2 linked regions of the Stegostoma tigrinum genome follow. The main gene of each other region encodes a partner of the protein of the gene in region 2 in a complex. Links are inferred from orthologs where the notes say so. Each region holds a gene or a part of one and is shown on either strand. Other genes may lie near its edges. The genes, in order: fgf19 and beta-klotho-like.

What was found.
Region 1: the proteins of beta-klotho-like (region 2) and fgf19 are in contact, whole or in part, in a crystal structure (PDB 6NFJ), measured with the Homo sapiens proteins. The link is inferred for Stegostoma tigrinum from reciprocal best matches to the Homo sapiens genes KLB and FGF19. Residues at the interface, in NP_783864.1 of Homo sapiens: Phe379, Lys380, Val392, Leu394, Trp419, Phe420, Thr421, Asp422, Val425, Thr431, Tyr434, Met435, Asn438, Tyr643, Glu693, Arg696, His743, Asn824, Phe826, Met832, Gln848, Phe849, Leu850, Gln851, Ile853, Leu862, Phe931, Phe942; in NP_005108.1 of Homo sapiens: Leu192, Thr194, Asp195, Ser196, Met197, Pro199, Phe200, Leu202, Val203, Thr204, Ser211, Pro212, Ser213.

The regions. Positions count from the first base shown.
Region 1 is NC_081370.1:61,787,247-61,803,041, forward strand, and holds fgf19 (fibroblast growth factor 19), read right to left. Parts: upstream 8,229-15,795; 5' UTR 8,115-8,228; coding exon 7,823-8,114; intron 6,544-7,822; coding exon 6,440-6,543; intron 3,707-6,439; coding exon 3,407-3,706; 3' UTR 1,961-3,406; downstream 1-1,960. UniProt on the Homo sapiens protein: Involved in the suppression of bile acid biosynthesis through down-regulation of CYP7A1 expression, following positive regulation of the JNK and ERK1/2 cascades. Stimulates glucose uptake in adipocytes. Activity requires the presence of KLB and FGFR4.
Region 2 is NC_081354.1:98,356,418-98,372,408, forward strand, and holds the start of beta-klotho-like, read left to right. Parts: upstream 1-8,884; 5' UTR 8,885-8,973; coding exon 8,974-9,726; intron 9,727-15,991.

The sequences.
Region 1 (15,795 bases), on a different chromosome or scaffold from region 2:
GAACTTCATGCAACTTCACTTTCTGCCTACCATGGGGAACCTTATCAAATGCCTTATTGAAGTTACTATTCAGCTGTTCACACTTAATGATAGCACAACTGCCGATGCTGGTGTCAGAGTCAACGCAGTGTGGAGCTGGAGGAACACAGCAGGTTAGACAGCATCAGAGGAACAGGAAAGATAATGTTTTGAATTTGCACCCATCATGTTGAAGGGTATAAATCTGAAACATTGACTTTCCTGCTCCTCTGATGCTGTCTAACCTGCTGTGTTCCTCCAGCTCCACACTGTGTTGACACTTTACTCACACCATCTAATACTTCAGATCACCTGCATGGACTTATTATTCGGCATTCTACTCACACCATTTGTATGGTCTTTGGATGTCTCTGCCTTTGATCTCTCTGCCTATAAATTCTGTTTCTGTCTGAATCTCTCTCACTTCACCTCACCAAGGGGCTCTGCTCCAAAAGCTCGTGATTTCAAATGAACCTGCTTGATTGTAACCTGGTGTTCTGTGACTTCTGACTTTGTCCAGCAAGTCAAGCACCAGCACCTCCACTTCAGGGAGTTGTTTGAGGTAACAGTGGAGATACATTTATGGAGAAATCAGACAAGAACATGAGGGACAAGATAATAAAGAGTTAAACTGACAGATTGAGATGAGGAGAGATGGAGTGCACAGGACATAAGGATTGATAAACTGCTAGGGCTGGATGACACGTTTCTGTCCTGCACAGTCTGCATAATTTTATCTTGATAGTTTTGGATATAAACATTGCTAAACAAGCAATCCATGATTATCTCTGAGAAAAAGCTGGTAACTGTTTCGATCCACTATTGCTTGGTGCAATGAAGATCTTCTAATAGCTTTTAGAGACATGGACAATCTACAGTAGGCAACATTGGAGATATCCCACAAGCCTTGGCAAGAAAGATCTTCCAACAGCAGCATCCTCTCATGAGCCAACAGAGTCAGCATTGAGACATTGACTTGAAAGCAGCTCCATTGATTGGGACACATCATTCTCGAATGACACGGGTAAAGTTGGGTTTCCTTGTGGGAGAATCTAGGACGCAAGGGTATAATCTCAGAGTAGGGGTCATCCTTTCAAGAGAGAGATGAGGAGAACCTTCCTCTCTCAGAGCTTAGTGAATCGATGGAATTATTTACCACAGAGGAGTGTAGAGGTTGGGCCATAAAGTATATTAAAGGCTGAGAGAGACAGGTTTTCATCAGTAATGGAGTCAAGGGTTATGGGGAAAAGGGAGGAAAGTAATGTCGAGAATGATCAGATCAGCCATGATTCTACTGAATCACAGAATGGATCTGATAGGCAGAATGGCCTACTTCTGCTTTTACACCTTATGATCTCATTCAGGAAGATACTGAACACAGCATGAGACTTCATCAGAAGCATGCAGAGGTTAAGTTGAGGCTCAGACAGAATGCCCAAACCTCCAAAACAACAATGACTTCGAGTATTATGTGCCTGACTCATGGCAGAGCTGACACATTGCACATCCAGCCTGTTAGCTATTTCTGAACCAACTGGAAGAGGTATGGATGCAGGTTGTTCTCAAGCTCAAGGGCCCACCTCAGAAACATGACTCCCACAGTGCTGTTGGGGAGGAATTTGCAGGATTTGAACTCAATAACAGTGAAGGGATAGTGATATATTGCCAAGTCAGGGTGGTATTTGACCTAAAGAGCTTAGTAAATGATGTTGCCCTGATCTATCTGCTTTGTTGGTATTTTAATGATTGGTGCTTTTGAGAAGCTAATGGTTTGATGAACTCCAGTAGTGTGTCCTTTAAGTAGAATGAACAGTAGCCACTCTTTTAAAAATAATATAAGTAAAGAAATGCAGATAAATTGTTATGAAATTTTAGATACATTTTATTTTAATTCACAAAGACATGAATAATTTCTTATTGTTTATTCACAATTTGAGGTACAAAATAAAAACTATGAAAACCTGGCAGATTTATTTCATCTGTTGACACCAGCTATATTTTGCCTACTAAAATGGTCAATTAATTACATACCATTCAAGCCTTAACATTTACCTTCAAATAATTTGTTTGCTTTAATTCATTAATCATTCAAACAGAAAAAAATTAGCTTTCTATGAACACGGGTTCATTTGAACTGAATTACAAAAAAGTGGAAAATTGTATAAATATATGTACATAAATATAATAGCAAAATAGAAGGAACCACTGTATGCAATAAGTTAATTATAAATACCTTCAAATTGGTCAAGTGCTTGTTTATGTGAATTTGCAATCAACTTCCTTCATGCTAAACTCCTTCAAATTCAACAGGACAAACTTGTACATTTTGCAACAACAAATACTTGATGCATATTTGGTACTACAGTTCCAGTTTATGAACTTTTTTTGTTTCGAGAGTTATTTTGTGATTGTCCTAGTAATGGGACCAGATCTGTAACATTTGGAACCCTCTCTTCCAATGGTGCACTGGAGTTGTACATTTCATCCTGAATATCAGCCCCCAGAAGCCTCATCTTAATGAGCTGATAGCGCATAAATTGTCTTCTTCATCAACTCAAGCAGGACACAATTTAAATCGAGCTCAGCAATTAGTTGAAAAATGTTAAATTTTGCTTCCAAATCCTCTTCCTATAAAGGTTTTAACTGGACCCTAGCTCCTCAGGTGTAATTCAAATCTCTATCTCCAAACTTCTTTCTTAAATAAAGATAGTTTAAACTGCATTCTATCCTCTCATATAGGAGACAAGAGTCATAGAGATGGAAAAATCAAAACAGGCCCTTTGGTCCAACTCATCCACGCTGACCAGATATCCTAAATTAATCTAGTCCCATTTACCAGCATTTGGCTCATGTCCCTCTAAACCCTTCCTGTTCAACTGAACCTATAATTGTTCTTCCTACTTAGTTTCTTTTGTCCTGCATCTCATGATAAGGATATACACAGATCCCTCTATTCTCAATAGAATGGGGATTTATACTATTTACCTTGTATCCTAAATCTTACAATAAGGTTAATGCTACTTTCTCCATGTTTCATCTGGTTTTACCCTGAACCTTCTATTTTCTATAATACATCAGGGTTCCTATGCTCTGCATCCGTTCTCTCAGTGGAGTTGCATTTTACACAAGTCTATAACATTGCCTCTAATGTTGCTCTATCTACAATCAGTCAATAATTCACCTGCTTCGCAGTTACATATTTATAATAAGAATCAATTCATTCAAGGTGACACTCAAACTGTTTCTTTTTAATCTCGAGAGTGACGAAGAGAGTCCTCACAATCAAACACTGTCTGTCACCTCTTCAACACAGCAGGACAACTGAGGACAAAGCAATTCAGTCCAAAGGAAAAGTGCAGTGCAGTCATGGGTCTGAAATACACCCAGTTCATGTGGCTTCGTACGTGAAGTCCAGGGGGTCCATGCTGTTGACCTGAATCACTGAAGACGGCAGTGAGTCAAGTTCAGGAGTGTCCCTGGACTGGTCCCCAGGGACTTGGGGGAGAGGCTGTGTGTTGCGGATGGGCAGGAACTGAGACAAGGGAGGGAATGCTCTGCCTCTTGTGTGGCCTCGCTGCCTCCTGTTGCTCAGGGACACAGCAGCTCCGTACTTTTCCGACCAATACAAATTGTAGGTGCCAGACAACAAGCGCTCCTTAAATGAGCAGTCAGCTTCATTGTAGGTCAGCTGGATGAGTGATAAAAACAAAAGGTCAGGTGGGAGGGAGAGGGGAATGGTGGTAATAAAAAAGAAGAGTGATTAGCTAATGTGGTTCCATGCTTCTTCGTGCTGACAGCTGACAATACTGGCGCCCGGGGCTACAAGTGTGGATCTACAGGTCACTGAACTCTGGGACATATAAACTAACCCCACAACAGACCAGCGGCCAACACAAGGGAACTACTCCAGAGAATAAGGCAACTGGTGAAATTACTGTTAAAGCGGCAACAACACACTACCATACACACACACTCCACCCCGAACACACACACACTCCCACTCACCACACCCCCACATACACTCCCAGACACATATACACACATGCTCTCTCTAGCACATACACTCCCACTCACCACACACACACACTCCCAAACACACTCCCACTCAGCACAACCCCACACACATTCCCAGATCCACTCCCACTCACCACAACCCCACACACATTCGCATATACACACACTCCCACTCACCATAACCCCACACACATTCCCAGATCCACTCCCACTCACCACAACCCCTCACACACTCCCAGACCCACTCCCACTCACCACATCCACACACACACACTCCCACTCACCACACCACACGTACACTCCCAGACACATACATTCACACACTCCCCCCAACACACACACTCCCACTCTCCACATCCCCACACACACTCCCAGACTCACTCCCACTGATCACAACTGCCCACCCCACATCCAAACATACTCCCACTCACCACATCCCCATACACGCTCACACATACACACAGTCCCACTCACCACATCCCCACACACACTCCCAGACCGACTCCCACTCACCACACCTCCACACACACTCCCAAATACACACACACACTCGCATATACACACACTCCCACTCACCACACCTCCACACACACTCCCAAATACACACACACACTCGCATATACACACACTCCCACTCACCACAACCCCACACACACTCCCAGATTCCCACTCACCACTTCCCTGCACCCACACACACCCATACAAGCACACACTCATCACATCCCCTCACACACAGTCACATAAGCCTTACAACCATAAGAGATAGGAAGAGAAATTAGGCCCTTCAGCTCATTGAGTTTGCTCCACCATTCAATTATGATAAGTTTCTGAATCCCATTTTCCTGCTTTCTCCGCTTGACCTTGATTCCATTGACAGTCAAGAGCTTATCTGTCTCTGTAGTAAATATACTCAATGACCTGGCCTCCACAGCCTTCTGTGGCAGTGAATTCCATAGATTCACCACTCTCTGGCTGAAGAAGTTTCTTCTTATCTCGGTTCTAAAAGGTCTTCCCTTTACTCTAAGGCTGTGCCCTCGGGTCCCAGTCTCTCCTACCAATGGAAACATGTTCCAACATCCACTCTGTCCATGCTATTCAGTATTCTGTAAGTTTCAATTAGATCCCCCTCTCATCCTTTTCAACTCCATCCAGTTTAGACCCAGGCTTCACACATTTCTCATAACACACGCACATGCACTCACCATACCCCAACACACACAAACACAGACCCACGCTCACCCACACAAACATAGCCACAGACACAGATGCACACGGACCCATATTATCAGACACACATTAGACTCACACATACAGACTCACACTCAAACACAGCCCACACCCAAACACAGAACCCCGCCACATAGGTCTCCACATGCACAGACTCATCCAAACACACTCACACATAGAGCCCACATACACCCACAGATGCACAGCCCCATCCACAAACACACACATACACACACACACCCATAGCCCCATCCACGCGCACACACACACCCCACAGACCCATCCACACACACACAAAAACCCCCCACAGACCCATCCACACACACACACACACACACACACAAACCCCCCACAGACCCATCCACACACACACACACACACACACACACACACACACACACACACAAACCCCCCACAGACCCATCCACACACACACACACAAACCCCCTCAGACCCATCCACACACACACACACACACAAACACCCCACAGACCCATCCACCCACACACATACACAAACCGCCCACAGACCCATCCACACACACACACACACAAACCCCCCACAGACCCATCCACCCACACACACACACACACACACACACACACAAACCCCCCACAGACCCATCCACACACACACACACAAATCCCCCACAGACCCATCCACACACACACACACACAAACCCCCCACAGACCCATCCACACACACACACTAACACACACACACACAAACCCCCCACAGACCCATCCACACACACACAAACCCCCCACAGACCCATCCACACAATACACACACACACAAACCCCCCACAGACCCATCCACACACACACACACACACACAAACCCCCAGAGACCCATCCACACACACACACACACACACACACACACACACATACAAACACCCCACAGACCCATCCACACACACACACACAAACCCCCCACAGACCCATCCACACACACATATATATATATACACACACACACAAACCCCCCACAGACCCATCCGCACACACACACACAAACCCCCCACAGACCCATCCACACGTATACACACACACACACACACACACAAGCAGTCTCCAAAGGCTCATCCACACACACACACGAGAGCCGACCTCTCCCTCTCCCAGTGCACTGTGGGCGAATCCCGGAAAGTGCTGGGGCTTCCGGGTGAGGACTTACCGATCCGAGTAGCCTGCCGTCCCTCTCCATGCACAGGTAGCGGCCGCTCAGGTAGCCTTTGATGGCCACTACGCCCGGGGCTACCGCCCTCATCTCCAGGAGACCTGCAAGGGAAACAGCACGGGGTCAGCGGGACGTTCAAACCCGGGCCAGGTCTGGAATAGACTATGATATGACTTTTTAAACAAAGCAGGTCCAACGTTCAGAGCACAGCGCTGAGGGAGAGGAGCCTCTGCCTGCTAGGGAAGAGTTACAGGGCTTGGTGAAACTCACTGCCACATGCAGTTCTCCCCTGGCCTGTGGAAACACGCACCTCGCTCACTGCGGGGGCCCCTCTTTGAGAAATAGTGGACCGACGGTCACCCTGCGGGAATTCTCTGCCACAGAACACAACTGGGATCAAAACAGTGAATGTTTCCGGAAGGGTTTGTAGATAATTCTCAGGGCTAAAGGGATCAAAGGAAATGGGGTCGGGGGGTGTAAACAGGCTAGAGGGGCCGAATGGCCTCCACCTGCACCTATTTTCTATATTTCTATGTATTAGGGGAAGGGGGGGAGTTGGACAGAGATGCCTGGAGATCAGTCCCGCAGCACTCAGTTCCCTCACTCCGCCACGAAAGGCCTCCTGAGGGACTCTCACCCTTGAATCAATGGCAGAAACGAACTCGGTGACTGATGTTTAATAAAACCAAAACTTTACGTTGGTCTGGCGAACATTAAATTCGCTCCCAAACTCCACCCCGGTTTGCTGAAGCCAGTTCCCAATCAGGTGGGAATTTATTCTCCCCCTCTCTCTGATAAGTCTGGGACTCAGTGAGGAACACATACACTCAAACACGCAACTGCTGGAGAATCTCGGCGCGCCCGGCAGCTGGACAGACAGGAGCTGGGTGAATGTTTCGGATCCATTGCTTCAGAAGAAGGGTCACTCACTGAATCCGCATTGTTTCTCCCTCCTCAGATGCTGCCAGATCTGCAGAGTTTCACGAGCACATTCTGTTTTTCTATTTGTTTGAGAGCTCTAGCATCTGCAGATCTTTGACTTAATTCAGTAACACAGCCCTCTCCCCCTACCCCCACTAAGTGAGCCCCATGAGGTACAGTGAGTGTGAGAAAGTGAATGACTGTGTGTGAACAAGTGAGTAGGTGATCGAGAGTGAGAGTAAATGAGTGAGCGACAATGACCGTGAATAACTGCGTGTGTGTGAATGAGTGAGCGTGAAATTGTGTGGATGAATGATTGTGAAAGTGTGTGTGCGAGTGAATGTGTGTGAGCGATAATGAATGACTGTGAACGAATGAGAATGTATGAAAGTGAACGTGTGAAACAGAATGAATGAGTAAAGTGAGGGTGGGAGAGGATGAAGCAAGCTGCAGACTCACTGTATAGGCTCCGCTCCCCGCTGCCGCCCACTGTGCCGTCCTGGTTAATCTGTAAATGCCAGCTGCTGGCGCCTCCCTTGCTGTGCTCGGTGTACAGGTACAGAAAGCGGATCGTCTGCTCCCAGCCCGAGTCTAAGTGTGGGCCCGAGTCCGGGGATGCGAGCGGCTGTGCTGCCGACCCCCAAACCAGGCTCAGCTGGGTTAGGAGCAGGAGCCAGCTGGCCGTTCGCCCCGTCCTGTAGCGGGCTAGCCGGCGATGGGCTAGCTCCGGGAAACCCCAGACAGTAGACATTGATGTAGGCAAAGAGAGATTCAGGCAGGTTCTCCTCTCTCTGTGTGTGTCTCTGATCAGACAGACCTAGGGGCGCAGCCTTTTAAAGGGATCATTGCTTATCAGCAACATCGATACGCCTGCTCCCAAAAGAATTATTTGAAACTCGGTCATAATAGTATTTCTTTTAAAATGCCCGCCCACTCGTGTCTTGCATCACAGAAGCTCAGGGATATCCCAACCTTGAACACTGTGTGCGTGTGTGTGTGTATCTGCATGTGTGTGTCTGCGTGTGTGCATGGGTGTTTGTGTGTGTATGTCAGTGCGTGTGACTCTGTGTGAGTATGCATGTGTGTGTCTGTGTGTGTCGGTGTGTGTGTCTGTGTGTCGGTGTGTGTGCCTGTGTGTGTATGCGTGTATGTGTGTGTGTGTGTCTGTAAATGTCTATATTTGTGTATCTGTGTGTGTCTGTGTGCGTGTATCTCTCTGTGAGCGTGTTTAACCATCTGTGTGTGTGTGTGTTTAACAGTGCCCCAGCTTTATAACATTGTCATTCAGTGCGATTCTGAAACTAGGCTGCCCTGGGAATGGCCCCCACTCTAACAGAGACCCTGCATGGTCAGATCATTGCGGGAAACACACCTCACGGAATTAGGAAGCGGTGATGAACCGGTCTTTGGGGAAGTCAGTATTTAATGAGGATTTGAGTCTGTGCACCGGAAGAAAACAGAGCTTTTCAGGCAAATACATCAGCGGGAAGGAAACCCAAAATTTTCCATTGTTTCGGCTCCTGTATTGTTCAGGACGATCCTAGCTCCGGCCGAGAACTTAGAAGGGTGTCTTGCTTTGCAGGAAAATGTTGTGGGGTTATGTTTAGGAGGAATTCTTAGTCTCAGTGGGATTTGCCAGCTAAAGCCGGCTGAGGGCACTCTCGCATCACAGACAGCTCCGAGGCAACGATCCGGCCGGTGCTAACAAAACCCCTGAGATGGTGCGAAAAGATGAAAGAGGTTAAGAGGCAACGATCTGCTTTGCATCTCTCCTGGCACATGCAGCAACGTTGTTAGACAGGGACCGGATTTCTTTTCCATGGTACTTCTCATCTCTGGGGGGATCCATTCCTTGTAAGTTTGATTGTTCCCTGGACCCTCAACCAGAGAGCATCAGGGCATTAAAGGCACGCTCCAAACAAAGGCTTTTTCGCAAATTGTGCGCTTACAAAAAGAAACCCACACTAGTGAACACTAGCAATACAAAGAAAAGCCAGTCATATTAAATGGCCAGAGCTCACTTTTTGTTTCATTTTCGCTGTCTTTCAGTTGCCTTTGATTCTTCTGTGTTTCTCTTTGATTTTTGGTCTTTGCTTTTCTGCCTCTTTGTTTTGATTTTCTCTGTCTCTGCCTCTTTGTTGGAGCCTCTTTTATCTTGCTGGCACCCTTCTCTGTTTACACAGACCATCTTGTTCATTCCGTGCCATTGATTTTTTTTCCCCTTCCGCTTGACCATTCTGTGCATCTGTCTCCAAAACCTGTCTCCCGTTTGCCTCAGTATTTGCTCCCTCGGATTCCCTCCTGAGTTCCTGCCTCAACCATCCATCAACTGGCCTCCTCCTGCTCTGCCGAGGTTTTGTTCACTCTTTGAAAACCTGGTCAGCCCAGGATCAGTTGCTATTTCTCTGTCCAAACAGATTCACTCTTTTGAAGACTGTTGCAGACTATCATTCCTTATCTATCTCAGGCTATCTTCCCTTCAGGCAGCTCCCTATCATAGACAAATCCCCTTTAAATCCCCAACTACTCCTGGTTTCAGAAGAATTTATTGATAATTGGGGCAGAATTCATTGAAATTTAGGACATCCTGCTTAGGATGCATAATAAATAGTTAATTTTAAATAGTTTTAATTAAGTAACGGCTCAGAGCACTTGCAAATATTTTGCACCGTCATAAATTTCACTTCCACTCTTTTTAAAAAAATGTTTTTTCTCCATTTTTGCTCCCCTTCATTCTTCTGGTATACAAGTCTATCCAAGTGTTGTCATCCTGGGGTGCATGTGGCCACACTTCACATTTGAACCTTAGCACATAGAAATGTCATTGCAGTTACAAGGCAGAAACAGGTCTTCCTGGTCAAGTAGTCCTTTTCAGAGATAACTTCCAAACAAGCAAAGCAGTTTAATCACATTTAGCCACTCTGTTTACATCTGCCTTTTCAATAATCCACCATTCAATCTCATCTTGAATTTGACTGATTGTCAAGAATCTACCAAACCTGCATATCTTTGGAGTGTGGGAGGAAACCTGTGCACCCAGAGGAAACCCACACCGACACAGGGACAGTCACCAGAGGGTGGAATCAAACGCAGGCCCCTGGTGCTGTGAGGCAGTGGTGCTAACCACTAAGCCACCCTTTGAGCCAACAATGCATTTTAACGTTCATAGCTTAGCCTTACTTCTGAGGCCAGCAGCACTTACATAATCTTACTCCCACATGGAAAGGACAAATTAAAGAATGAGATAAAAACACTTTGAAGTGAATGTACCCCTTTGGCATTTAATGGTGTTACCATCACTGAATCACCCACTGTCAGCATCCTGGGGGTTACTATTGACCAGAAACTCAACTGGGCCAGCCATAGAAATGCTGTGGCTTCAATAGCAGGTCAGAGGCTAGGAATCCTGCATTGAGTAACTCACTTCATGACTCTCCAAAGCCTGTTGACCATTTAGAAGGCATAAGTCAGAAGTGCAATGAAATACTGTCCTGGATGAGTGCAGCTTCAACAACACTCAAGGAGTTTGACACCGTCCAGGACAAAGCAGCCAACTTGATTGGCACCAAATCCACAAACATCCACTCTCTCCACCAGTGATGTTCAGCAGCAGCAGTGTGTACCATCTACCAGTTGCTCTACAGAAATTCATTAACTCTCTTTAGACTGCACCTTTGAGAGTGACAACCACTTCCACACAGAAGGACAAGGTCAGTAGATACATGGGGAAGCCATCACCCACAAGTTCCCTTCCAAGCCACTCACTATCCTGAGTTGGGAAATATAACACCATTCCTTCAGTGTCAAATGCTGGAATACTGTCCATAACAGCATTCTGGGTCAGGTGTCTATGAGGGGGCCCTCGCTCTTTCCCTTGGGGATGTGGGGTGGAGGGTGCTGCATGTAGCAGTCCCTTGTAACTGCAGATTGCAGTGGTTCACTGCCTAATTGCTTGCTCTGCAGTATTGTAGAGTCCGTGGACCGTGTGCATATTGGTTATGAGCATTTGCACTCCCTTTTCAGTTACTTAAAGAGCCTTTTGGTATGCTTTTGGTTGCAGTTCAACCCCACGCTCCTGACCTTTGGGCACTCATGGGAAGGGGTGCAGGCAGTTAGGGCGATCTCCTCGTAGGACTGTTCTGGGGCTTGGCCAGGCTGGCATTGAACAGATCCATGCAGTGGGCTGTGGAGGGGGTTATTTCAGCTGACTGCCTGTCCATTTTCCATGGTGTCTCCTTGGAAACTGAGCACGTGTCCACCATAGATTTTGATGCCTTTAGGAAAAGGAGGGCACCACAGGGGATAGAGTGGTTTATTTCCCCATTTGGCTCTATTTTGATTTAATCCCTACCCTCCCCTTCAATTTCTTCACCTAAGTACTGCTTGGTGTTTGCTTGCTACTGGTTCCCTGGCCATATGGGTGTTTTCCTGGTGATGGAAATATTGAACAAAGTCTTTTGTACATGGTATCTTCACTGAGTCCCTGCACTTACACGCACACAACACGGGCACTGTGGGAAAAAAACAGTATTCCAGATTGGGACTGCCTCTGTTGGTACTTGAGCATGGTTGTCTTAAGTGAATAGAATGCACCATACAATTCTCAGCACATTACATCACTGTCATTTGTAAATGTTTGACATTGTACATTTCAATGGTTTGTCTTCAACAATGAACTGAAGTATATTGCATACAGTCAACTTCACCAGTTACACTATTAAATATGTAGGAATCTTCAGAGGACCACAAAAATTTGGCATTGTGGATGCTTTGCATAGTAAACACTGATTGTCTTTAAAATTACTCTACCTTGAGGTCAGTTTGTGGGAACCATACCATTTCTTTAATGAGTAGTTTGTTTTTGGCAATTACCTGGTAACTTTCATGGTTTTAATGACAACACATTCCCTCGATGAACACAAAATGACAATGTGTGTTACATGAGATCAGATCTGGCTGTAATGGTGAGCTCAATTTGGACATTGTGCAAGACCTTGTTGATTGTAAGAAAGTTTGTTTGTAAACACATCTCAGTCAGGTCTTTCCAGTTTTATCATTCCATAGTCATCACGCATAGTTGTAATGCTGTCTTTTTTGTTGTTATCACTTTGAAGTCAGGTAATTTTAGTGACATTGACACATCATTTAGATTTTTGAAGTTAAGTTGCTATTTGGCACACTCCTTCATGACTACTAAGGCTGACTGTTGTTAACAGATGCTGTGAAACACATGGAAATTGACCTTTCGTAGCTTCAGTGTCCAAAACTCTACGACTGGCTGGTTTGTGTGTAGAATGTTGAGCAATCTCTTATTGTTGGGTATTATTTCAAACCCCATTTCCATACATTGAAAATGATTTTGTCACTTTTTAAATTCACTTCTGGACTTGCCCTGGCTAGGCCAATATTTATTGCTGCCTCTCATTGCCCTTGACAAGAAGGTGATGAGATGCTTCTTGAACTGCTAGCCTCCACTCGTTTTGTGAATAACATTGCTCAAAAAAAAAATTCTGAATCTTCTTGCCATTGCAATGATTTATCAGTTACCTCCCTTGTCTTTCTGCAAGAGAATTGCACCCAAGCTAACCAGATTTATACCCATGACTGAGTGATATTCTCAGGGTCAAATTAAATGGTCATGTAACTTGCTGACAACTACTTTTTATCTGCAATATAGCCTTTGTGTGTGGTTTAGTCCAGTGCTCCTGATTATTTTTCTCAGATTGTGTATGGGTGGAGGGGAGGGGGTGTGGGTACTAGTAGCAAGGGCGGTTGTGGGGCTGATGATGCAGTGAACTCTCCAGAAATGGAATAACAAAAGTATGTGATGAGTTCTAACATTCTAAGGAATTCCTGCATATTTGAAGGATCTGCAGCATTTGCAATAGCTTCAAATTTCCACAGACCAGGTGACATTCCCTCACAGCTGAGCAAGTGACTGAAGAATTCAATTCTGCTTCAATTGAACAAGTAGCTGCATGAAACTTGAGCATGTAATATTATATTTCCCAATCTGTTTAGGAAGTATTTACATTTGAAGCAAAATTTAGACTTGATAGATGTGTGCAAAATTATCAGAGGTATAGACAGAGTGGACAGCCAGAGACCTTTCCCTTGGATGGAGGTAGCTATTACAAGGGGGCATAGTTTTAAAGTGAGTAGAGGTAGATATAGGGGAGACGTCAGAAGTAGGTTCTCTACTCAGAGAGTGGTCGGGCATGGAATGCATTGCCGGAGAGGGTAGTGCAGTCGACCTCATTAGGGCCATTTATGCAGCTGTTACATAGACATATGGATGATAGTATAAGGTAGGGGTGGAGGTTAGATAGACCTTAGGTTTAGGGTAAAAGTTCGGCACAACATTGTGGGCCAAAGGGCCTGTACCATGCTGTACTGTTCTGTGTTTTATGTTCTATATTTCAAATAGAACAAACCAGAAGCTAACATCATTTCCTATCCCATTTTACATTGATTAGAAATCTACTGCAACTAAAAACAACTTGCAATTATATAGTGCCCTTTGGAACTTTAAGACATCCCAAACTTATGGTAAATCATATATTTTGAAGTGTAATCGCTTGGGTAAAGTACAAAAACATTTGGACAGATTTTCTTTTTGGTTGCTTTCTTCACACTTGCAGTTGTTGCGAGCAAATTCTTCAAAATGAGCTATAAACCTTATTGGATTGTTTTAAAATACTGACTGGCCAAATACAGTTCTTCAGAGAAGTGGATCTGCCATTTCTGCACTTGGTGTGGCTAGTGTATAATTTGAAATTTACGTGTAATGGTTTCATTTAAATGCATTTTAAATTATTTCATGCCAATCTTTATTTTGGAGTGATTAGAAACAGGCAACATCGAAGTAGCCACTGGAAATGAGAATGGCAAACTCAGCCCTGTTGACACTGAAACTTCCTCCTTATCAACACCCATGGTATCGTACCACAATTGGAAGAGTTATAGAATTATATAGTCATAGAGATGTACAGCACAGAAACTGACCCTTTGGTCCAACTCAGCTATGCCAACCAGATATCCTCAATTCATTTAGTCCCATTTGCCAGCATTTGGCCCATATCCCTCTAAATCCTTCTTTGTTCTGTACCCATTCAGATGTCTTTTAAATCTTGTAACTGTACCGGCCTCCACCAATTCCTCTGGCAGCTCATTCCATACACTCACCTACATCTGTGTGAAAAAGTTACCCCTCAGGTCCATGTTAAATCTTTCCCTTTTCACCTTAAACTTATGCCCTCTGGTTTTGGACTTCCCTAGCCTGGGTAAAATACATTGAGTATTTACCCTTTTCATGCCCCTCACTATTTTATAAACTTCTATAAGGTTGCCCCCTCAGCTTCTGATGCTCCAGGAAAATAGCCCCCCTTTATTCTGCCTCTCCCTATAGCTCAAACCCTCCAGTCCTGGAAATATCTTTGTAAATCTTTTCTGAACCCTTTCAAATTTAACAATATCTTTCCTATAGCCGACAGAACAGAACTGAAAACAGTATTCCAGTTGTCCCACAGACAAGCTAAGGAAGAGCCTGACATAGCTATATTCACAGAATCATGCTTTACAGACAATATCCCAGACGACACTATCATCACCCCGGATGTGTCAGGAAGTGTCAGTGGTATTGTCACTGAACTAGCAATGGGGACATTCACTGATTGCACCAAGTTTTGCATCCTTCACCATTCCTTTGATACTGAAGTAGCCTTTTGCCAAATGCAGTGAAACCTGGAGGATATCCATGGTAATAAAATGTGAGGCTGGATGAACACAGCAGGCCCAGCAGCATCTCAGGAGCACAAAAGCTGACGTTTCGGGCCTGGACCCTTCATCAGATGAAGGGTCCAGGCCCGAAATGTCAGCTTTTGTGCTCCTGAGATTCTGCTGGGCCTGCTGTGTTCATCCAGCCTCACATTTTATTGTCTTGGATTCTCCAGCATCTGCAGTTCCCATTATCACGGATATCCATGATAACTGGCTAGTAACATTTACCTTTAGTCAGCACCCCTTGATATTCAATTATTGTCATCACTGAATTCTCCACACTCAAAATCCTGGGGTTAGCAATGATCAGAAACTGAGTTGGGTCAGCTATATAAATATTGTTGCTGCAACAGCAGCTTTAGTAATTCATACAGGGGAATAGGGCATCCCTGCCTTGCCCTGCATTTATTTGTTTGTTTGTTTATTTATTGATTGATAGATTGAGAAGGTGATGGTGAGCTCCTTCTTGAATGCTGCCTTAGCCAGTAATGCCCTTATGCAATGAATAAATGCAAACAAATAAATCTATGACAATGAGCAAGGTCACTGATGGCCTGAATAGTCTAATCTTTAAATGTAATTAAGATCATGGTTAGCCAGGTGAATAATAGAGCAACATAAATATAAAATTAATATGAACTTTGAGTGGATTT
Region 2 (15,991 bases):
GAACATTTCTGCCCTGCTTTGCCTCCTCTGCTACACCTTGAAGGTTCACAATGCTTCGTGCTTGACCTGCTGTTTGGAGCAGACACAAAGCCAGGCAGTTTGTCATGGTTGTCAGCAATGAATAGTCAAGACAGTAGACATTTTGTAGTGCATAACTGTGCTATGCCATTTTACCTAGCACCATGCCAGCATCATATATGGCAAATACACTGCGTGTATATCAACAAAATGGCCATGTTTCAAAATCTATGTGGAATGCTCCTCAGTCATGTCAAGGAAGACAGTCTTCAGAGTAAGGAGTAAAAGTAAGTCAAGAGCATCATCTCATATCAGTCCAGGGCTGGACATGCTCAGCCTGCTTGCTGGGACAGTCACAATCAGGGTGTCCCTATCACTAGTTTGAATGGGGATGCGAATGCTGCCTAGAGATGTTGATGACTGCAGTCTAAGATGAAGACCCAGAGAAGCCATCGGCAAAGTGGCGTCACCAGATAACCCCTCTGACCTACAAATCGGATATTGTCACATCTAGTCTTTTATCTGGAGGGTAGAGAATGGAAACTGCATATCAACAAGTCAAGAAGGACTAATAATGATGAACTAATAAGCATTCGAACGTACAAATCACATGTAACACTTGTTTGGAAAGTGGAACGTTTTTCTTTCAATATGAGAAACTACTTGCTGGCCATCTCATCTGATTTTCCAACTTTCTCCCCAGTACCCGTGTGTTTCAGTGCCTGGGAAGATTTCACCCAAAGTTTCTTTATGAAAAGATGACACCTAATTGGAGAAGACAATTGATATTGAAGAAGACTGCAACAAACTGTAGGACAGCATTAGTAAACCTGCCAAATATGGCAATAATTGAAGAAGAAGTTCAACCCAGATTAAATGTAGAACATTAGATTTTACAGGAGGATCATCAACTTGGTCAAAGATACTCTTTAGTGGTCCCAAAAGATGCCAGTCTTTGATTGCAAAGAGGATGATTGGCACGTTCCAAGTCCCAAAACTATGTGCTGAGGGATGCACTGAAACATGGTGCAGCCAAAAGACAAAATAGGGAAAGATCACTGCCTCAGGCTCTCTTATCATAATATATTCAGGGACTGAAAACTGTATATAAGACCACTCAGGCTGAAGCACTAGAAAATATTTGTCTTAGAAAGTGGTGTACATTGCAAAGATGGTCTGTAATTGCAAGGGCATTGAGCCAGCCTGATGTCGTGTGTTGAAAGAAACTGAACTATATTTCACATTATGTAATTTCAATTAAAATGTCAAATTTTTAAAAATCACAATGTTGTAACCTGGCTCTGGACAAGATTCCCCAACTTATTAGGGTTCCCCAATTTATTGGGGTTCCAGATGGGATATCTCAAATAATGGAGCTCCGAGGTCAGGAGAGATGAAATTCTTTATTCACCCACTTCCTCAGTTGACCACTACAAGTTTAATTTACAAAAAGATCCCCTCCTTTGTGGATACCTTTCTCCCAGACCAAATTAAAGTATGCTTTAAAAGGAGCCAATTTACCCACGCTTTTTTTGAGTTAACAACAGAGTAAGATTATTAGTTACTAAAAAAACAAGACGCAATACTAACATAACAATGTCATGTTGAGACTGTACAGGACATTGGTGAGGCCACTTTTGAAATACTGTATGCAATTCTGGTCTCCCTACTACAGGGAGGATGTTGTGAAGCTTGAAAGGGCTCAGAAAAGATTTACAAGAATGTTGCCAGAGTTGCAAGGTTTGAGCTATAGGGAGAGACTGAATAGGCTGGGGCTATTTTTCCTGGCACATCAGAGGCTGAGGGGTGACTTGTAAAGGTTTTTAAAATCATGAGGGTCATAGACAGGGTAAATAGCCAAGGTGTTTTCCCGGGGGTGGAGGAGTCCAAAACTAGAGGGCATAGATTACATATGATGCTGGGAAAAGATTTAAAAGGGATCTAAGGGGCAATTTTTTCACACAGAGGGAGGTATGTGTATGGAATGAGCTGCTAGAGGAAGTAGTGGAGACTGGTACAATTACAGCATTTAAATGCATCTGGATGGGTACATGAATAGGAAGGGTTTAAGAGGGATATGGGCCAAACGCTGGCATGGGACTAGATTTATTTGGGACGTTTGATTGGCATGGATGACTTGGACCGAAGGTTCTGTTTCCGTGCTGTTCATCTATATGCTTCTATGACTCAGTACACACACACACACACACACACACACACACACACACACACACACACACACACACACACACACACACTCAGATCAGTCTCTGAGTTGTTCGTGCGAACATTGTGGCCGTTGCAGTGTTTGGTACAGACAGTGTTGACATTGCCAATCAATATAAGATAGTCACTAACTATTCCAATAGGGAACTTAGAGGAACCTTTATTATCTGAAAAATGATGAGAATACAGACCTTGCCAACACAGGGAGTATTTTAAATGATTGGTTTGGACACATTTCCAGGCAAGATAGAGAAGTAAAAGAGTGAAGTGAATAATGGTTACGATGATAATGCAGGAAAATGGCACTAGCTGAGCAGGCACCATGGTCAGCAGGTACCAGCTTGGGCCGATGGCACTGTTTCCATGCTGTATTACACTATGACGCATTTAAATAAGCAAAGATGAAAGAAGTTTGGAATGGAGCATGAATATCAGCATAGGCTATTTGGGCTGAATTACCTGTTTATACGTTGTATATGCTTATAATCCTTATTACCGATCCTTCTCACATCCCTTATTGTCAATTTTCTTTGTAGGCTTCATGTATGATGAGAAAGAAACTTTTAAAAAATAGGTCAAATGGGAATGGAGAAATACATTTAATTTGCTATATTTCTGTTCTGCCTGTGTTTGTTTCATATTTTGCCTCTTTTGAAATTGCATGACAATTTTTAGTAAGGTTTTTTTTTCTCAAAAATACAATTAATACTTTTTAAAATTGTAACAAACAAAAACATGTTATTTCAACCCAACAGTTAAAATTAGTCTGGTTGAAAACATTAAGTTTTCCACCTGATCAAAGCCAGCTATAATAGATTTGTAAAAGATTGGTCAGCCTTGCCAAATCTGATTAAATGATTTGAAGAAGTACCTCGGTATTTGTCAAGGAAATGCCTACAAATTTCCGGATGGCATTTGATAAAAATGCTCACAATAGATGGTCTTTGTGAATGGAGATACATTTTCTCCTTCACTATTTACTCCACTAGTTTCCTTACTATTGATGTTAGACTCACAGGTCTGTAGTTTCCTAGACTATCTCTACCGTCCTTCCTGTAAAGTGGAACAACATTGGTTCTTCTCCAGCCCTCTAGTACCTCCCATGCCCATAAACATTCGGGTCAGGGATCTCTTGTTTCCCATAGCAGCCTGGGCTACAGCTCATTCGGACCTGGGGATTTGTCTCTTTTTAAATCGACCAAAACTTCTACTTTCTCACTTCTGCTCAAGAATTCCACATTCCATCTTCTTAAAGTCTGTATTTGCATCCTCTTTCTCCAGAGTAAAGACAGATGTCAAGTACTCATTTAATAATTTATCAATGTCTTCCAGCTTCATGCATAGACTTACCCTTGGTCCCTAATAGGTCCTTACTCTTTCTCAGATTATTCTTTTCTCTTTGACATATTTGAAGAATATCTTGGGATTCTTCCTGATCTTGCCCTCCAACACTTTCTCATGCCCCCTCTTTGCTTTCTTGAGTTCCTCCTATACTTTCTATACTCCTCTGTGGCCTCTGTTGAATTTTTTTCCCTTGTACCTGTTATATATCTGTCTTTTCTTTTCATCTGGTCTTGAATATTCCTAGACATCCAGGCTTCCCTGGGCTTATTGTTCTTACATTACATTCTAAAAGGCACATGTTGAGCCTGTACTCTCCCTAGTATTTGAAAGCCTCCCACTGTTCTGCCATAGATTTATGTACAATCTGACATAAAAAAACTCTCCAATATATACTTCAAGAAATCTGTACCCTCTAAACCCTTTATACAATGATTATCCCAATTAATATTGGGTAGACCATAAGACATAGGAGTAAGTAAGGCCATTCGGCCCATCAAGTCCACTCCACCATTTAAATCATGGCTGATGGGCATTTCAACTATATTTCCCTGCACTCTCCCCGTAGCCCTTGATTCCTTCTGAGATCAAGAATTTGTCGATCTCTGCCTTGAAGGCATCCAACGTCCCGGCCTCCACTGCACTCCGTGGCGATGAATTCCACAAGCCCACCACTCTCTGGCTGAAGAAATGTTGTCTCATTTCAGTTTTAAATTTACCCCCTCTAATTTTAAGGCTGTGCCCACAAGTCCTAGTCTCCCCGCCTAACGGAAACAACTTCCTAGCGTCCACCCCTTCTAAACCATACATTATCTTGTAAGCTTCTATTAGATCTCCCCTCAACCTTCTAAACTCTAATGAGTACAATCCCAGGATCCTTAGCCGTTCATCATACGTTAAACCTATCATTCCAGGGATCATCCCTGTAAATCTCCGCTGGACACGCTCCAGGGCTAGTATGTCCTTCCTGAGGTGTGGGGCCCAAAATTGGACACAGTATTCTAAATGGGGCCTGACTAGAGCTTTATAAAGCCTCGGAAGCACATTGCTGCTTTTATATTCCAACCCTCTTGAGATAAACGACAACATTACATTCGCTTTCTTAATTACGGACTCTACCTGCAAGAATCCCTAATGACTTGATCGATTTTTTTAAACTATTATGAAAAATACATAGGGTAGGTTAAAAGAGATTGTTTCCACTATTTTGGAAGTCTAAAATGATTCAGTTTAAAAATTAGCCTCAGGCATTTCAAGAGTAAATAACTCCTTTATGCAACACTAGCAACGATTTGGAAATTTCTTCTGCAAAGACCGATTAATCTGGAATCAATTATTAATTTCAGAACTGAGATTAATAGAGTTTACTAATGAAAGGTGTTAAGGGATTCGGGAAAAGGCAAACATATGGAGTTAAATCAGAGGTCAGCCACGGCCTCACTGAATGATGGAAAAGGTTTGAGGATTGAAATGGCTAATACGTGTCTCTAAGTTGCGAACAGTGAGACTGGTACATTCATTTTCTGTCTGCTCCTTTCACAAATGCACAGAAACCTGCATTAACTCTCTGTTTCAGGAAGTTCACTTTATCTTAATAAAGATATTGAGAATTTTTTTTAGCTCCTACTAGGGTTAGAACATTAGCAATAATTGAGTTAGAGTGAGAGAGGCTAAAGAGGGAAACAGAAAAAGGAAGAAAAAAAGAGATACTACGTTGTGTAACTTATTGTGTCCAACTTCCTTAATTATTCACCCTCTAAGACATGAGAAAATTTGAAGAGATTAAACAAATCTTTTTTGTCTCAACATACAAATTGCCTTAAATATGACTGATTCACTTTACTTTTCTCTTTATATGAGTCGCATTGTATAAACGGAACATGCAGGGTTGTTAGTGGAGAGGAAGTGGTACATCTACACGTATGAATTAGGAGCAACAGAGGTCATTCAGCCCCTTAAGCCTGCCCTGTCCTTTGACAAAATCATGGCTGATCCGACTGTGGCAGAATTGTGGCACTATCCTGCCTACTCCCTCCACACTTTGTCAATGAAGAAGTGACATAATTCATCTTTTAAAATATTCAGTGACCTGCCTCTATGGCTTTCTGCTTGGAGTTCAGTCCAGGGTCAAATAGGAATAAGAATGTCCTGGGGCTGCTGAAGTGGATGGGAAGGGGATGGAGTTGGGGAGCTAACATGGGACAAAGTTTGTTTTGGAGGCCGAAGGTAACCTTCTCACAATATTGAGTTGGAGGAAGCTATCATTCAAGCAGGATTTCATTATACAGACCATTTGATTGGATGTTTCTAACTGAGGCCTCAAAATATAATGTGGAAAGAAAGAGCTAGATATGATTAGCAAACTCTTGCCTGCAGATGATACCACAGATGAAATTTCCAAATCCACTTTGAATACACTTGTTGATTTCTTTAGAGCATCAATTCCTTCCATGCCTCCTGGTCTCATAGACCATTTCATTCCTGTGTGCAAAATCTCTTTTAGTGTTCCCAAAACCCAGCATTCACTAAAATAGCAGAAATATTCCCAAATACCAAAACCTCAGGGCAGCATAGTGACTCAGGAGTTAGCACTGCTACCTAAGAGCAGAAGGGACCCAGTTTCAATTCCAGCCTCAAGCAACTGTCTGTGTGGAGTTTGCACATTCTCTCTGCGTCTGCGTGGGCTTCCTCCAGGTGTTCCACAGTCTAAAGATCATAGATTGTTGAATCCCTACAGTGTGGAAACAGGGCCTTTGGACCAACAAGTCCACACCAACCCTCAGAGCATTCCACCAATACCCTTTCCCCATGACCCACCTAATCTACACGTCTCTGAACACTACAGGCAATTCAGATAGCCAATCCATCTAGCCTGCACATCTTTGGGCCGTGGGAGGAAACTGGAGCACCTGCAGGAAACCCACACAGACATGGGGAGAACGTACAAACTCCACACAGACAGTCACCCAAGGGTGGAATCAAACCTGGGTTCCTGGCGATCAGAGGCAGCAATGCTAACCACTGAGCCAGCATGCTGCCCCAAGTGCCATTCTAATTCTGGATTGGCCATTCTAAAATACTCATATGCAAGCTAGGCGGGTTAGCCATGGGAAATGCAGGGTTACAGGGATAGTAGGGGAGTGAGTCTGGGTGGGATGCTCTTTGGGGAGTCGGTGTGGACTTGTTGGGCTGGACGGCCAATTTCCACACTGTAGGGATTCTACATACTCTATATACCTCCATCACCAAGCTTAGGATCTCAACGGAGTGAGACCCAACCAGCAAGTCCTCATCATAGACTCGGTAACAGTGTCCATCATTTCAAAGTAACCTGTAACCAATTCCTAGTATGCAAAAGAAAATCAAACCTTGTTCAACACAAGAGCTCTGAAAATGAGACACAAAAGTGGTTTTCCTCTACCACACTAGACCAAGCAGGCCATGTAGATTCCTAAACTTAAAGATGATGGTAGCATCAAGCGTATTACATGTCAAGGTGCCTTGGTTTGACTGTACACACAACTACCTTCTGGATTAACTGTCCATGTAGAAGACGTTGAAAATAGGAGCAGGAACAGGCCATCCAGCCCTTACAGCTCCACCTTTCAACATGACCATGGCTGATTGTCTAAGTGGGTACCCTGCTCCTGCCTTCTCCCCCACACGCTTTGATTCCTATTGCCCTAAAAACTATATCTGACTTCTTTTTGAATATCTCTGAAGAAGCATCTTTTAATCTCATATCAGTTGACTTCCAACTTCCTGTATGCCCGACATGAATGAGTGAATGCACAGAAACTCACTGGGTTGTGTTCTCAATTCCCGTTATTGTCATTATCCAGATCAAGTTGTTCACGGATGTTATTACAGACTTCTGGAGCAGGGCCTCCTGGCTCAGTGATAGGGACACTATCACTCGCCCACAAGAACCCTGAATTCCTGTCCTAAGCTTATAATCGGCACATTCCTATACCAAGAATACAAGTTTGCATTAAAGACTCAGTAGAGCAACATGTATAAGAGTCAAAAAGAGATCTCAGAGTCAAACAAAACAGATAAAAGGTCAAAGGGAAGAGAGACTTAAGATTAGTAAAGCAGAGTCAATAAACTAAAATATTTGGGATATGTGACCCTCAGGCCTGATCTCCATCACATCCACTGCATTCTGGTAACAGTTCAGATGACAGTTCAATGGAACCATTCAAAGGCAGACCATATACTCAGTGGAGGGGCGGGACGGTGGCTCCGGTGCCTCAGTGGTTGTCACTGCTGCCTCACAGTGCCAGGGATCTGGGTGCAATTCTGCCCTCGGGTGACTGTCTGTGTGGAGTGTGCACATTCTCCCCGTGTCTGCATGGGTTTCCTTCAGGTAGTCTAGTTTCTTCCCATAGTCAAAACAATGTGCTGGCTAGGTGGATTGGCCATGCTAAATTGCCCGGAGTGTTCAGGGATTGGTCTGCATGGGTTGCTGTGTGGGTCAGTGTGGACTTGTTGGGCCAAAGGGCCTGTTTCCACATAGGGATTCCATGATTCTATGCAGTTGGGAAATTGCAATTGGTCATTTCGGGGGAAAAGCATCCACCAGCTTCTCAAGCCACATCAGAAGGTTTAATCAATAAGTCAATTAATGTATAGCAATTTTCAGGACAAAGATGTCAAATTCTGGAGTTTCCGGCAGTGCCAAGCAGGCTTCCCAGCTGCAGACAATCCCATCCACCCCTAAGTCATTTAAGATTTTTTTCAATTACCCCAACAGGTTCAGTGTTAAAGGACACTGGCAGATACAATCCTGGTGGATCTGTCAGCACTGTAGCTTGTGCACTTTCAGAATCTACGGTGACAATCAAAGAGAGAGAACAAAATATCGAGAGCACAGAACAAAAAAGAATTGATAGCGAAGAAAAGCAGAGAAACAATACAGAAAGAGATTGCACTTTGTTTGCACAAAATGTTAAGGGAGATCAATTATTGTGGGTGTAGGGAAAGGCTTCAGTGATCATATACAATGTACTAACACGCTTATGATTTCACAAGCTTCACTATGGGGTTCCATTAAGTTGACAGCTCGGTAAATAAAAAGACACATACAAAACAATACATTGTTAATTGCTTACATTACATGAATAGGGTATGTTTTTATCCAGTGTTGTTGTATATCTTATAAATAATGAATTCTGACACGAACCTATCCAATGTGCTGTTTCAGCAGCAATGTTTAAACAGTCCATAGCTAGGCGTCCTGAAGAAGCTAATCATTGACAGAGATCAGATATAACCACACACTTAAACTAGCGCTTGGTTCACTTTTAATGGAATCGGACGTGTGTCAGTTTTGTTTTGAACAAAAATGAACTGAATCAGGTGTGTTTTGGAACCCAGGCACACAGGATGAGTGACTGTGGGCTAAAGACACTTTTCATAGCTCTCTTTTTTCTTTATACTGGAGCCAATGTTACTGTTCAAGGAGATCCAGGGGCAGGAAAAGTTGTCTGGGGAAACAAATCGAGTCACAACGATATGAGGAACGGTGAGCTTTTCTTGTACGACACCTTTCCTAGAAACTTCATGTGGGGTGTGGGAAGTTCTGCATTTCAAATCGAAGGAGGTTGGAAGAAGGATGGCAAAGGACCTTCTGTCTGGGACAACTTTACCCACACTGAATACGTCAGATTTAACAATGCAACTGCAGATACTTCCAGTGACAGCTACACATTCTTCAATGAGGACTTGACGGCTCTCAAAAGCCTGGGAGTCACTTTTTATCTGTTCTCAATCTCCTGGCCCAGGCTATTTCCAAATGGATTGAAGGACTCTATCAATACCAAGGGTCTTCAGTACTACGACACGCTTATCAACTCCTTGTTAGAGAGAAAAATAACTCCCATTGTCACTCTCTACCACTGGGACCTGCCTTTGGCATTGCAAGAGCAGCACGGAGGCTGGAGCAGCAAGGCTATGATACAAATATTTAATGAATATGCTAAGTTCTGCTTTCAGGCATTTGGGGATCGTGTTAAGTTTTGGATCACAATTTACAATCCTTTCCTAATTGCCTGGCATGGATACAAAACTGGGAAATATCCCCCTGGATGGAAGGAGAAATCTGCAGCAATGTACACTGTAGGGCACAATTTGATTAAGGTAAACAAAATTGACATTTACTTTGTCATTTTTCCGATTAAATATTTTGGAAATTTTCTGAATTGCGCACAATGAAAGACATGCTATTGAAATTACTAGAGCACTGATTTTCAGAAATTTTAATCTGTTAATGAATCATTAATAATGGAGAATTGCATTCTTTCTCTTCCTTTTATAACGAAAACAGAAAGTGCTAGAGTTATTCAGCACATCTGTGGAGAGAGAGAAAGAAAATAAACATTTTGGATCAAATATGATATTCCTTCAGAGCACCGTGCAATTTCCAAATCCGTAGTATTCTTGTTTTTATTCTCCTGCTTTACACTGAAAAAATATTTTATCCCGGATGACAATTACATACTTTTTCACTTGCAGTCCACCTTTAATGTCCTCAGTCCACTTCAAGTGTGTCACTATTTTTCTCACATTTTTATTTTGTAAAGCAAACATGTATTTATTTCTTACTTTAATGGTGTTGCACGAATTCAAGGGGTTTCTCAACTCAAAGATTGAAATTGCTTATTCTGACTCACCTCTCTCAGCCTTTCATGATGGATAAGATGGGTCACTATATAAATACGAGTTATCCTTTGCAGGATGCCCTGACTCCAGATGAACATTAGTATTATGTAAAACGTTTCAAGATTTGTCTTGCGTAACTTCTAAGTTAAATAAGAAATGTTAATTAAATCGTTCATTATATAAAATTTAATTTCCAGATCTATCAATATTTATTTTACTGAAATTACTAAAAGCAGTCTACAGGGTCTGACAGGATTCTAAAGTGTTTCAAAACTGACTAAATTACAGCATGTGTGTCCAACCTTTGTTAAATTATACCTCATTCAGTTACTTAGCCTGGAATCTGTCTGGTGAGGAACACTAGTTGTGTAATATGAATTTTCTTTATTCTTTTGTGGGATGAGGTATCACAGCCTAGGCCAGCATTTATTGCTTATCCATATTTGCCCAGAGGATAATTAAGAATCAACTATATTGCTGTGGGTAGGCCAGACCAGGTATGCATGGCAGATTTCCTCCCCTGAAGGGCATTAGTGGACCAGATTCATTTCTTTTTACAACAATTGACAGTGGCTACATAATTGTCATTAGGCTCATTTTTAAACCTTGATCAAATTTCACCATCAGCCATGGCAGGATTTGAACCCATGTCCCCAGGACAAGACTCTGTATTATGAGTCCAGTGACCATCACCATTAGCCCAACCCCTCCCCAATGTCCCACTTACCAAATACATACCTTGGAGTAGCCAGGGAATAGTTACTACAAATTTGGAATGGGGCTTCTTTACACAGCACAACTGTGCATTCGATAACTCAATGGAAGTCGGTATCCCTCACCACGTCAACTTTTATTTACATATATGTAATACATGACACTGACCCAGCTAGCACACAGCCAGCTCCTAGAGTCAACAGTATCCCTGAGACTCCTGTTTATATCGTCAGCCAGGGTTCCCTGATTGAACCAGCTTAATAGCCCCAATCAGGGTACTGATATTCTATGAGATCCACTTGGGTAATCCTTTTACAATCACTATGTCCCTCCTCCTTTAAGTCCTGGACAAAGGCCTGTTCTTTTTCCTGTAACTTTTCCTGGGCCATTTTCCCACCAGGTCCAGTTCCTCCGATTGTACCTTGGAGACTCTCACCATGTACTAGACCATGGCCAGCCTCTTGCTCCTGGAGCATCTCAGAAGAAATTCATCTTTGTGTTCAGGTGGTAATGGTGTCAAGGCTCCATCTTGTCCTCAGAGGTTTCTTCAATGCTAGGTGGAGGAGAGAACCCAGAGGTTCTCATATTCTGCCAGATATTCTGAGGGGCTGGGAATGTTTTACCCTGATTCGTTTGCAAGGTTGCAGCTTTCATGTGGCCCATGTGCTTGTTCAGGACTTCCTCTCTGACCTGAACTTTGTACATCACATGACCTGACCTCATGTCAACCATGTCTCTTACCCATGCAGAGCCATTCCTGCTGTTTTAACACCAAACTTTGTCTCCTGAAGTAAATTGCCTCTCTCACTTAGAGGAATCCTGTGTATGGCATTGGTTTTCCTGATGCCATTTCACCACCCTCCACCCCACCAAAGTTGGGGAAGATCATTTTTAACCAAGTGGGGAGTCATCTTCCCATTGGCATCTCTACTGGAGCTGTCCCTGTAGTCGCGTGAGGGGTAAACAGGAACCGGGACAGTTTGGTACCAAGTGAACATGTAGACTGTTTCTTTAAGACTGCCTTCAAAGTTTGAACTGATCTTTCTGCCAGACCATTGAATGATGGATGATACGGAGCTGTCCTTACACACCAGATGCCATTGGACTTTAGGAAATACTCAAATTCCCGGCTGGTAAATGATCGCTTGTTGTCTGTACCCAACACCTCCGGGATTCTGTGTGTTGCAAAAGATGCTTGCAACTTTTCAATCGTCATCCGGTGTTTGACGAATGAATTTTGTACCCGTCCAACCCACTTTGAATGGGTTGAATGGCCTCCCAGGACACGTTCCAACATGTAACTGTACACACTCAGAATAAGAGCCCACTACTGAATTCAACCTGATTCTACGGGCGTCATGGCCCTGTTCGCTTTAAGTAGCCCTAACAAGGGTTTGTAGTCTGTCATTATTACAAATTTCTGTTCGCAATCGTATTGGTGAAACTTTCTCACATCAAAGACGACCCCCAAACCTTCCTTCTCTATCTGGGCCTATCTTTGTTCGGCATCAGCCAAAGTCCGGGAAGCATACGCTATTGGGCATTCCTCTTCGCTGGGCCATCGGTGAGCCACCACTGTCCCAATACCATACGGGGAGCATTGTGTGTCAGCTTGGGATCATAGTATACCAAAACTTTAGACAACGATAGCTGCTTCTTCATTTCCCTAAAAGCTACATCTTGGCCTCGAGACTATTTCCAAGGCTGATCCTTCTTCAATAGCAAATGTAACAGTGCCAGGACGGAGGCCATGTTAAGTATAAATTTTCCATAATAATTCATCAACCCCCTGCCTTAGAGAAACTTTTAAGCACTATGTCCAAGTTCTCTAAATGCTCTTTATTGGTCTTCCCAGTTTTTTGCATGTCATCCAGATAAATGGCACTTGGGGTGGACCTTGTAAAATGTTCTCCATCATCCCCTCGAAAATGATGCAGGCTGATGATACCCCAAAAAGCAGTCTCATATACCAGTACAAATCCTCATGGGTATTAATTGTAGCAGACAGCGTATAAGATTAACCTGGCTGGCCGCATTCCAATCACGACATGGCAGACTGGATATTTCCTATTTGAAAGTACTTTCATAATGGGTTATACAGAGGGTTTACTCTGGTCCTTTGATTTTGCAGCAGCATAATAATGAGCTGGAGGAGTGGGGACTCCTGTTCATTTTAAACTGCATCTTTTTCCTGGTATTTTCTTCCCACATTATCTGGGGTACAATTGTTGAGATGTGAAATAGGAGGAGCTTCCAATCACCAATCTCTGAGCCCTTCAAAAGTCCCAAACAGAAACTGACCACAATAGTAACTTATATCATTTTAAAATTTACAGAAATTTTCATTCCACATTTTAAGTTTTAAAAAAATCTAAAAGGTTGCTGCATCCATACAAACTTAAGTTTAGCTTATTGTTATTAATTACCGCTTAATATTTCCCATACGTCCAAAACAAAACTGTGTTACTCTGTGTTAATCATGTTTTCTCTTTCTTTATCTGCTCCTTTCCCCCTCAAAACTGTTGCATAACTTTTATCAATGGTTGAGAACTTTGCACAAGTGACACTCACCCTATAACCTTCCACAATATATCTTGTCTTGCTCGCTTCTCTGTAAAGCATTCCAGCTGCCAAGACAATTAACGTCTCCATTAAATAACAATTAAGGGACATAGAGAATGAGTACATGAGAGAATAAGTCCCAGTACAAGCCATCAATCATGTCAGGAGCAATGGTTCTTGGAATAGATAACAAAGTCTCACATGGACCACATATAATCCAAATTATAATTTGAACATTTATATACCAAGGAGAATTGTATGAAAGATGATAGGTATGAAAGTCCATAGTTATTCCTTGGGAGACCAACAAAACTACCACAAAATTTCACATCCCAAGTGCCTGGGTTATAACTTCTCCAAGTCAGTTGATAAAAAAAATTCTGCTGAATATGGAAATGAGCCATTAGACAAATTTCTGAAGGCGGTGTTATCAAAGGACATTAAGGAGAGAAATTATAGGAGATGATTGATGGCTCTGCACAGTTATGAACGCAGTTTTGAGCAGTTCGTGAGAAAGGTTGCCCAAAGGAACAATTTTAAAAGGATGAAAAAATTTGCCTTGATCACACTTCAGGGAATGCCAAAATGCTTTTAATCCAATGGGTTTTTGTTCTAAAGTGCAGCCATGTAATTTTGAAAGCATAAACAGGAAGTCAATATTCACATGGGAAGGTCTCATAAACAGTAAACCGAATGGGGAAAACTCCAAATACCAGAAACCCTAAATAAACGGAAATAACTGGAGACACACAGGGGCAGCCAATTCCTGCACAGCAAATAAAACAGATTATGACGGTTCAGGTACACAATTTCGGTGAATCGCCAACATTTTCTCTATTTGTCCCATAGGTGAGAGAAATGACGATTTAAACTGTTTTGTTTAGGGGTAATAGCTGTGGAAGAGTATAGTGAAATAGGACTGAACCTGCACAGCTTCACCAAGAGGAATCTGTTAGAATTCTTTGAGGAGGTAATGAGCCAGTTAGACAAAAGAGAGCAAGTGGACATGATCTATCTGGATTTCCAGAATGCTTGTGACAAGATACCGCACAGGAGGCTGTCAAATAACAAGTGTTGGGAGTGAAGTTCTGACAAGAATAGAGGATACAAATTTTTGGATCATTGTGGGATCTCTTCTGGGACAGATGTGACCACTACACAATTGGATGGGTTGCAGCTGAACTGGAGGGACCAATATTCTGGTGGGCAGATTTGCCACAGCTACCCAGCAGGGTTTAAACTAGTTTGCAAGGGGGTAGGACTCTAAGCAGTAGTGAGACGAGAGAATGTTGAGGCTGGTACAGAAACTTAGGACAGTAAATCAAGCAGACAAGACAGGCATGAGCACAGCAGAGAACAAGGAAAGGCTGATGAATTAAACTGCATTTATTTCAATGAATTTGTTTGGGGTGGCATGGTGATTAGCACTGCTGCCTCACACCACCAAGCACCCATATTCACCTCCAGCCTTGGATGACTGTCTGTGTGCAGTTTCCACGTGGGTTTTTTCTGCGTGCTCTGGTTTCCTCCCAGAATCCAAAGATGTGCAGGTTAGGTGAATTGGCTAGGTTAAATTGCCCATAGTGTGCAAGGATGCATAGGCTAGGTGGATAAGCTATGGGAAATGCAGGGATGCAGTAGATGGGTGAGTCTGCGTGAGATACTCTTTAGAGAGTTGGTATGGACTTGTTGGGCAGAATGGCCTGTTTCTACTCCATTGGGATTCAATGATCTATTTCTGCAATCACTTGTTTTAACATAATACAATGCAGACTATCAGGTCCAGGGATCTTGCTAGTGCGTAATTCCCTAAGTTTGCCTAGTATGTTTTCTTGAGCAACATTTAAGTTCCTCTCTCCACTCTCCCTTTTAGTCCTGATTTTCTATGATTAAGATGCATTTTCCCGTTGACAGGCTTAGTAGTGGAGTTTAGCATTCTATACTCATGGTTTAGCCAAACAGACAAAGAATAATCTATCTTCATTTATTGACAAAGCCAGGTGGGCATGAAGGTTGTAAGCAGAACACTAAGACCCTGCAAAGAGGTTCAGTGAATGGGCAGCAAGGTGGCAGATGGAGTGTGGAAATGTTAGGTTATTCATTTCTTAAGAACAGAAAAACATTTTTTTTTTAATTGTAAAACTGGTAAATGTTGGTGTTCTGAGAGACTCAGTTGTCCTTGTGCAGGTAAAATAAAAGTTAGCTTGCAGATACTGGAAGCAGAGTCGAAGGCAAATGACCTGTTCACCTCTAAAGCAAGGGGAATAGAATACATTTCAGAACAATGATGCAGATAAAATAATGATATTAAATCGGGCCAGTGCACGATGAAGAGAGAACAACCAGGTGCTAATGTTCCTACAATATTGCTGCTTATGCTCTACTGAATGTCAGAGGCCACACGAGAAGGGGATACTGTTGAAGTAACCTTGATGACTTACTTGTTGCAGTTCATCCTGTGGATTGT